Linked DNA regions of Caenorhabditis elegans. The protein of the gene in region 1 interacts with the protein of each later gene in a pairwise test. Each region holds a gene or a part of one and is shown on either strand. Other genes may lie near its edges.

Region 1 (3,651 bases):
TAAACATTGAAAAACGAATATTTGAAATCTCAAGACCGGCTTTAATTTTCTCAACTTTGGCCAGTTTTGAACGAAGGATGTTTTCTGAAATATAAACAATTATATTAGAAAAGAAAATTTTTGAATACTTGCCATGAGATTTTTCTGCGATAATTAATGGTTTTGAAATGATAATTACGCAATCATTAGGAATATCCTCAACAGTTCCACCAATACATTCTCCATTTTGTCCAGCATTGCAAACAAGAAAAGCAACAAGTGTGATGAAGAATACGAAAAGTTTTCGTTTCATATAAATAACCATTCTAAAAATAATGAAATGTATTTTTGAAAACGTTGCATGTACACTGCATATTATGATTAAACTTCTGACGTGAACCTGGTAAATAAATATTTAAATTATTGTATTGTTTGAAAACTGAAGGCAATTTTTTTGGAGAGATGATGTCTGTTGCCGCATGTAAAAAAATATTTTCCAGCAAATAAAATTGATGGGATTCACCTATTTTCAACTTTAACAGTTTAGTGAAGCAAGTTGGAAAATGCATTTTTATTGAGAGAAAGTTAAACTTCAAAATGGTCCAAATTTAAGCAACAATCTTAGCGTGGCGTCTGTGAGCCATAACTTTGCGGTGCTTGACAACTTGAGAGCGAGCTGGGCATGGACAATAAGCGGCGTCTCCTCCTGGAGCTCCGTCGTTTCCTGGGGCTCCTGGCTGTCCATCTTGTCCCGGCTGTCCTGGTCCTCCTGGTGCTCCTGGAGCTCCAGCTGGTCCCGGTGCTCCGGCTCCTCCGGATTGTCCTGGTTGTCCTGGTCCTCCGGCTGGTCCTTGTGGTCCTGGAGCTCCAGCTGGTCCTGGAGTTCCACGGCTGCGTTGTCCTCCTTGTCCTGGGGCTCCTGGATGTCCTGGTGCTCCGGCTTGTCCTGGAGCTCCGGCATCTCCGGCTGGTCCTTGTGGTCCAGCTGGTCCTGGTCCTTCTCCAACAGCGTCTTGTCCTGGGGCTCCAGATGGTCCTTGTGGTCCTGGTGCTCCAGGAGCTCCGGCTGGTCCTGGGGCTCCAGCTGGGCAAGTGATACATGGTCCATTTCCTCCGGTAAGTCCGATGGTAACTCCGTTGGCTCCTGGCTTTCCAGCCTCTCCAGCGTGTCCAGCCTCTCCTTGAGCTCCTGGTTGTCCTGGTGGTCCTGGTGGTCCAGCTGGGCATCCATTGGATTGAGCTCCACAGTTGCATTGGGCTCCTCTCTTGTTGATTCCACGCTTGATTCTTCCGAATACATCAGTTGGCTTCATCATTGAGTTCCATGCTTGTTGCTCGTTGAACTAAATTTTTGAAAATGTTGTGAAATTCATTTTTAATCAGGTTTATTCTACAAAAGAATTTGAGAGAAGACTTGGTGGTTCATGATTTGAAAAAGTATTTGTATCATCTAGCTATGAACTTATGGACTCACTTTGAACTCAGTCATAGTGTCAATGACCTCATCATGGAAAGAGTTGATATCATTGAAGATGTATCCAACAGTGAAGAGGCAAGCAACAACAGCAACTCCGCTGCCAATGCTGGCGATTGTTACCAAAGTCTTAACCATTGCTGAGATGTGTCTTCTTCCACGCATTTGATTGTTTTTATACCCATAAAGGTCAAGTGAAATCAACCTTGAATTGCCCATTAGAGTGGGCGGCGTTCTTGCAGCTTCTTTGTCTGCCCTCCGGTGTTGTAATAATCGAATGCCCATACTTCCGTATTTTCGATGAAGATGTTTACACCAAGATAGGTTTAAGTATTTTTGACGTAATGTTAATGGTTCCTCAATTGTTAGAAATCATTATAAGAAACACTTGGCGTTTTTTCTAGATAGACATACTTGAAAACGTTGCTAGTATGTATGTAAGTTCATAGATCGAAGGCTTGTCTAAAATTTATTTATTTTTTCTATCAAAACGAACACAAAATGTTCAAAGTGCAATTCCTCAAATCAGTATGCCACATTCTCAATTACTATTTGCCCATCTCCACCATCAAAAAGAACGCTTCCGCATCTTCCGTGCCCCGGTGCCGCCACTCTCGCAAACATCAACTTTTTCTCGCCATTTGTTTGTGTCCATTACGCGAGATGGCGCCCGCCGTTCATTGCCGCGCACACCACATGAAAAAAAGTTTTTTTGTGAATAGAGGTGGTGATCCACACAAAGTTGCTCCCGCGAGCTCCTCTTGCTCCCGTCCCGTCAAACGTTTTTTGACGCAACCGAATGAGAAAAAGAAACAACGTCGACTGGTTTTGAGCTCTCCGCCCTCTGTTGTATTTAAAGGTGCCTCAAAAATCGGAAAAGACAGCACACACCTCGAACGGTTTCAGCAATCCAATAATCATCATGAGCTCCTCGGTCTTTGCGTGAGTTTTTATTTTATTTTCACAATTTAGTAATCATTCCAAATGGTTTCTTTGCAATACCTTATCTTCTTATTCTCTAGCCTTCTCTTCGCTGGACTTGCCCTTTCTTCCGCACAAGTCGCCGTTAACGGGCCATTCATGGGAAGATACTACGTGGCTGCCAAGCCAGTATTGGCTCCAGGAGTTGCCCCAGTCGCAGCACCAGTGCTCGCAGCTGCTCCAACAGTCTTGGCTGCCCCAGCTCCTCTTCTTGCTCCACCAGCCCCACTTTTGGCTCCACCAGCACCAGTTCTTGCTGCAGCTCCAGCATTCGCTGCTCCAGCGCCAGTTTTTGCTGCCCCACCAGCTCCAGTCTTGGCTGCTCCAGCTCCATTTTTGGCTCCACCAGTCCCACCAGTTGCTCCAATCGTTTCAGCCTTTGCCCCAAGACCAGTCCTTGCTGCCCCAGCATTCGCACCCGCTCCAATTCTTGCTCCAAGACCGGTTCTCGCTGCTCCAGCTATTCCAGCTTTTGCTCCGGCCCCACTTCTTGCACCAAGACCAGTTCTCGCAGCTCCAGCTATTCCAGCTTTCGCCCCAGCTCCAATTATTGCTCCAAGACCAGTGCTTGCTGCCCCAGCAATTCCAGCTTTTGCTCCAGCAGTTCCAGCTGCCATCCCAGCCTATGCTCCATTTGCTCGTTCTGCTTTCCTCATCGGAGGAAACAAGGCCAAGACCGTCAAGGCTTAAGTTCGAATCATCGTGCTCTAATTATTTTTGATTTTCTGTATATACCGATCGACGTTTTCCTTTCAAATTCTTCTGCGATTTAATGACAATACATTTATTTCGACTTACAATTACAATTTAAAATCTTCATGCTAAGTGTTCCTGAGTATTACGATCGCTCTCAATTAAATTAGGTCTCAATTAAGTTATCACAAATTTTTTGAAAAGAATTACTGAAAAATTACTGCTGTTTAAAAAAGAGTACAATTGCTATAACAAAATAGTTACAAATAAGTCAAAGTTATGAATCATTATTTTGATTTTGGGTGTTTGAGTTATTGATTGTTCCTCGTAATGCTTTCAAAGTTACAAAGGACAAAATGGCTCTTCTGTATGGTTCAATGAATATAATTGTGCAAAGTGGTGATAAAACGGGAACCATTGACATGCAATACGCTGGTAGAAACTCTTGCCATTTACTGAAAAACAATAAAGCATCCGATTACTGCTCTCTGATTACAAATGACTCACAGACTATTCTCAAAAAC
Region 2 (5,044 bases), on another chromosome or scaffold:
CTTCCCATCACGGTTTGATCTACAAAAAATGCGGGAATTTTTCGCCCTAAAATGTGACGTCAGCAGGCAAAATCAGTTGAGAACTCTGCGCCTCAACTCCCGCATTTTTTGTAGATCTACGTAGATCACGCCGAAATGGCACGTTATTGGGTCTGCTAAATCAAAATTTGAAGTTTGTAGGCTAGCAGACCCATCCTAGACTCACTTCCATACAAGCTCAATTGTGCCAAGGAAAATGGGACAAAAACTAGTAGAATAAGCCGCGAATTTACCATTTTCAGCCAAAAAATGACCGATAATACATCCATTATTGAACTTTATAGTTGTCAGGCGGAGACTAACGTTTGCTTACAAAACATCACTTTCAAAAAATCGTGAGAAAAAAAAACGAATAAACACAATAAGAAGAAAGTTGATGATGATAATCTTTATGCTATTCCGAATTGGAATTTTTGAATACGAAGTGGAACGATTCTCGAAGCAAAAAAAAACTTTTTTACAGGTGTTCGAGAGGGAAAATAAACAGTAAATGTCGTGGGGGGTGTAGAATAAATAAAGAAATAATTGGGCCATTTTCAGTGAATCTTGGGGAAAAAGTAAAGTGCGGTGCAGAAAAAACAAGTAGATCAGGGGAACTTTCAAACGGGGAATAATGGGGAAATTTAGGAGCTGGTTGTTGGCTCTTCCTCGGCTGGAGCAGCTTCCTCATCGTCGTCGTCGTCGTCAGCTTTTCCGGGCACCCAGAGTCCAGAGGCGATGCATCGATCGAAATGGTACTTGAAGACCTGAAAATTTGGATTTTTGGATGTTGAAATTAGATGAATTTGGCTAAAAATAATAGCCTACAAACTACTAATTTCGATTTAGCAGACCATAGGTGGTTTTGAAGAAATTTGGTCTGCTAGACTACAAACTACAAAACTCGATTTAGCAGACCAAAATTAAAAAATGCCTGTTTTCAGCTTAAAATTTTGATTTTTGATTCGTTTTTTTTTGGAATACAATGTTAATTCACTCAAAAATTTGAAAATAGATCAATTTTCCCCCGAAAGTTCAGATTTTTTCAGGATTTTATATTAAAATACGCACTTTTGTCTTAAAACACAAAAATCGCACAATTTTCCACTAAAAATCGCAAAAAACCTGAATTTTTGCTAATTTCTATTTGAAAAATATTCATTTTTCCGCTGAAAAATTGAAAATTTATCAATTTTTGCAATTTTCATTGCGAAAATTGAAAACTTTGGGTCTGCTAGTCTACAAACTACACATTTCGATTTAGCAGACCAATGCCATTTTGAAGAACCTTGGTCTGCTAGACTACAAACTACAAATTCCGATTTAGCAGACCAATGCCATTTGGAAGAAACTTGGTCTGCTAGACTACAAACTACAAATTTCAATTTAGCAGACCCAAATATTCACCTCTTCATCCATTTTCTGGGCGACACCCTTCAACGCCTCGATATCATGTGCCTCAAAGCACTTTCTCATCTCCTCCGGCAGCTGCTCGAACACTTCCTGTGGATCGATTCCTCCCGGAGCACTCTTCATTCGTTCGGCTTTCTCCTCGGCTTCAGCCTCCTCCATCGCGGCGTCTCTCTTCGTCTGCGCACGTGTTCTGAGACGATCCTCGAACGCCTTCACCTCATCCTGATAGTGCTTCATGTAGACCGGCTCGGCGGCTTCGAACTTCTTGAAGAATTGCTTCTGGACGGTGGTATTCGTGGCGACTGCGTTCAGCGATTTCGAGAGCTCCAGAAGATATTGAATGATGATGCATTGCTCAGCCATCGTCTTCATTTTCTCCTCATTAAAATCGATGGCGGCGTTGAGAGCCTCAATTGTGAGCCAATTTGCAGTGTACTCCGACGCCATATGCGGATGCTCGGCCAGGAACAGCTCCGTCGACTTGGCTCCGTTCTTGAGCACGGCCATCTTCTCCAGAAGGCTCTCGTGAGTCTCGAAGAAAGTGCTCATCGCATGAGTGTCCTCCTCATCGGTTTTGGGAGCTTGCGGCTTCTTCTCGGTGATCTGAAATTACAGAATTAATCAATTTGCACAGAAAAATCTTCAAAACCTTATTGATCCTCGACGTGCTGAACGCCTCATGACCGATCGTGTCGACGTTCCATGGCTCCAGACGCTCTTTCTCCTCGAGTTCGGCCTCCTTCTTGCGCCAGGCTTCTTCTTGCGCCTTCACCTCGTCGATTTGCTTCTGAATATCCGACTTGTCAGTGACATCGGCTGCGGCAAGCTTCTTCTCGAGCTCCTCCATCTTCTTGCTCGTCGTGCCCTTTTCCTTATCGATTTTCTCCTGTTCCATCTTCTTCTCGGCCATTCGCTCCAAACGAGCTTGATGGCGCCATCTGAAGAGCGACGGAGTGTCAATGTTCGGGTGAGTGTCGTCCTCGTCGTCGGAAACCTCGATATCCTTCCATTTGGAGTAGTCGATTGGCATTTTTGAGCTGAAAATCGAGAAAATTGAGTGGAAAATAAGGAATTAGCAGGAAAAGCGAGAGAAAACTGATAATCGCTGGAAAATTCCGACTCGGTTGCCACGACAACGAGGATAATCCGCGTGAAATTACGAAAACAGAAATTTCATGAAGAAAACGTGGCATTATAATGATGTTTCAAAGGATTTACGTGGAATTAACTATTTGCTGAGCAATTTTCGAGAAATTTCTTCAAAATTTCTCAAATAGAAATACTACGTTTTCTAGCGGATTTCGGCCTTTTTTTTGGCCCAAAACTCCGACAAATTGATTTTTAAAAGCCTGTAGAATTAAATTTAGACTTCTAAAAGTGGAAAAAATCGAAGGAAACCCCGAAAATAACATGAGAAAGGCGAAAAATGACTTTTGTTTTTCTTCTCGGTCCTTCTGTGGCAATGCGCGTCAGATATGGTGTTTTCTGTGTGCTTCTGCGTCACGGTGTTTGCACACAATTCCTTTTTCGCTGATTTTTTTAATTTTCAGCGCGCTGCAGCGCCATTTCTTGCATTTTTCAAGCATTTCCATTGATTTTTCCGCGAAAAAACATCTGAAATTTCAAAAAATCAATGTTAAACTCACAATTTTTCTTCTTCGCACTCGCTGTCCCTCTTGAAAACTCGCGAAATGACTGTATTTCCTTTTTTTTTCACGCAAAATTTCCAAATTTCCATGTTTTCAGGGTAGTTCAACACGTGAAAATGGCTCTTCTCACCTCAAAGCTTCGGTATCTTCTGCTCTTCTACGCAGTCTTCCAGGCTGCTCAATTTGGCCTCCGCTGGAAGTCTTATGACATCTCGCCGAAGCAGTTCAAGACTATCGCTGGAAAGGCTGCTGGTGAGGAAAAACATATTTTTCTGCGAAAATACCGCAATTTTAATATATTGTATATTTTCAGCTGCTCCAACAATCTCCCAGTCAATTTCCACATTGACGTCTGGAATGCGCACTTATTACGAGCCAATCATGCCAAGTCACTTCGAATGGCACGCTATTCAGTTGGGAGGCCTCACTTTAAGGGTGAGGAACAGGAAAAATCGAAAAAAAATCTTAAATTTAATGAATTTTCCAGATGTACCCAATGCTGACCGCTTTCACCGAGTTCGCCGCCGCCTTCTCCGCTCCGTTCCCAACTTCAGGACGCCCGGGGCTCCATTGGGCAAATACGACGTGCACCGTGTTGAAAGGAAAAGTCAGCCGATTCAATGACGGAACTCAGGACGAGACGTCGGAGAACTTTGCTTCGGGAGCCGCTTTCAGGCACGGACAGTTCGAGTCCCACGTGTACAGCTTCGAGAAGGACACCTACGTCGCGTGCTACGGTAAATTACACCGAAAATCAAGGAAAATTCGTTTTTTTTTGAGTCTGGCAGACCAATTTCGAATTAAAATCACCTGGGTCTGCTAAATATAATTTTGTAGTTTGTAGTCTAGCAGACCAATTTCGAAATCAAATCACTTGGTCTGCTAAATATAATTTTGTAGTTTGTAGTCTAGCAGACCAATTTCGAACTGAAATCGCATGGTCTGCTAAATACAGTTTTGTAGTTTGTAGTCTAGCAGACCAATTTCGAATTGAAATCACTTGGGTCTGCTAAATATAATTTTGTAGTTTGTAGTCTAGCAGACCAATTTCGAACTGAAATCGCTTGGTCTGCTAAATATAATTTTGTAGTTTGTAGTCAACCAGACCCATATAAAAATCCCCTCGTTTCTAATGAATTTTTATATTTTTCAGGTCGCGGCTTCCTCCCACTCTCCTCCACCGTCCACGTCACCTCTGGAATCTCACTCGGCGAGCCACTCTCGGTCATTCAATTCTACATGAAGCAGGCCTACAACTACTGGAACAACCTGAGCCACACCCTCTATCGTGTCTTCCAGCACTACAAGGCCCGCGCCACTGGAGAACTTTAAATAATTTATGTGATTCCCCATCCGGTGCATTTCTACAAGCATTCTAACCCGAAATTTTCATTTATTCAGTCATGTTTTATCCCAATGTCCCCCCTCTACTTCCATTTTTACGGTTGTGTAATTCGATTTCTTGAGCCATTTTATTGCATAATTTAAAATACAAGAACATATTTATTTCATCACCTCAACCATTTAACCATATAGCTCAACCGAAAAAAATAATTGCACAGGTATTTGAAGGCATTTGCAGTGAAAGATGATCAAAAGTCGCTGCTTACTCATCGTCGGCCAGCCGGACGAATCGAACAGTAGTTCTGGTGAGGGAAACCTTTGCCTTGATCCCTCTTTTGCACACAATTTGGACGTGTTGAACCATTCCATCATCCACGACCAGAGGATCTTCGTATCTAGTAAAGTCTATTCCGCGGAGAATAGTTCCATGTACAGGATGCTCAATATTCAGACCATCTACAACAAGATCACTGATTCTCAGCTGTGAGTTCTGAATCCAGATCTTCAAGAACAAGTTGACATCCTTTGCAGTCATTGAGTGGTGCAATGAACGAAGCGTTCGACTATTTGACAAGAACACCTCGTTCAGTGTGAGATTGGTGACTTTCAGCTCCTCATAA

What was found.
Region 2: the proteins of col-146 (region 1) and cdc-37 interact in a two-hybrid assay, tested with the Caenorhabditis elegans proteins (one large-scale study listed by BioGRID).

What each region holds. Positions count from the first base shown.
Region 1 is NC_003283.11:9,627,897-9,631,547, reverse strand, and holds col-146 (Nematode cuticle collagen N-terminal domain-containing protein), read right to left. Parts: upstream 1,606-3,651; 5' UTR 1,592-1,605; coding exon 1,454-1,591; intron 1,323-1,453; coding exon 588-1,322; 3' UTR 536-587; downstream 1-535. Other genes in the region: T06E4.5 (Recep_L_domain domain-containing protein), read right to left, coding at 1-84, 133-304; idpc-3 (Intrinsically Disordered Protein, class C), read left to right, coding at 2,376-2,395, 2,476-3,124; T06E4.7 (G protein-coupled receptor), read right to left, coding at 3,405-3,582, 3,635-3,651.
Region 2 is NC_003280.10:577,425-582,468, forward strand, and holds cdc-37 (Hsp90 chaperone protein kinase-targeting subunit), read right to left. Parts: upstream 3,170-5,044; coding exon 3,078-3,169; intron 2,469-3,077; coding exon 2,081-2,468; intron 2,035-2,080; coding exon 1,426-2,034; intron 1,291-1,425; exon of another isoform or gene 1,237-1,290; intron 786-1,236; coding exon 663-785; downstream 1-662. Other genes in the region: W08F4.7 (CW domain-containing protein), read right to left, coding at 206-308; W08F4.3 (Sigma non-opioid intracellular receptor 1), read left to right, coding at 3,197-3,332, 3,394-3,515, 3,568-3,817, 4,234-4,412; fbxb-14 (F-box associated domain-containing protein), read right to left, coding at 4,687-5,044.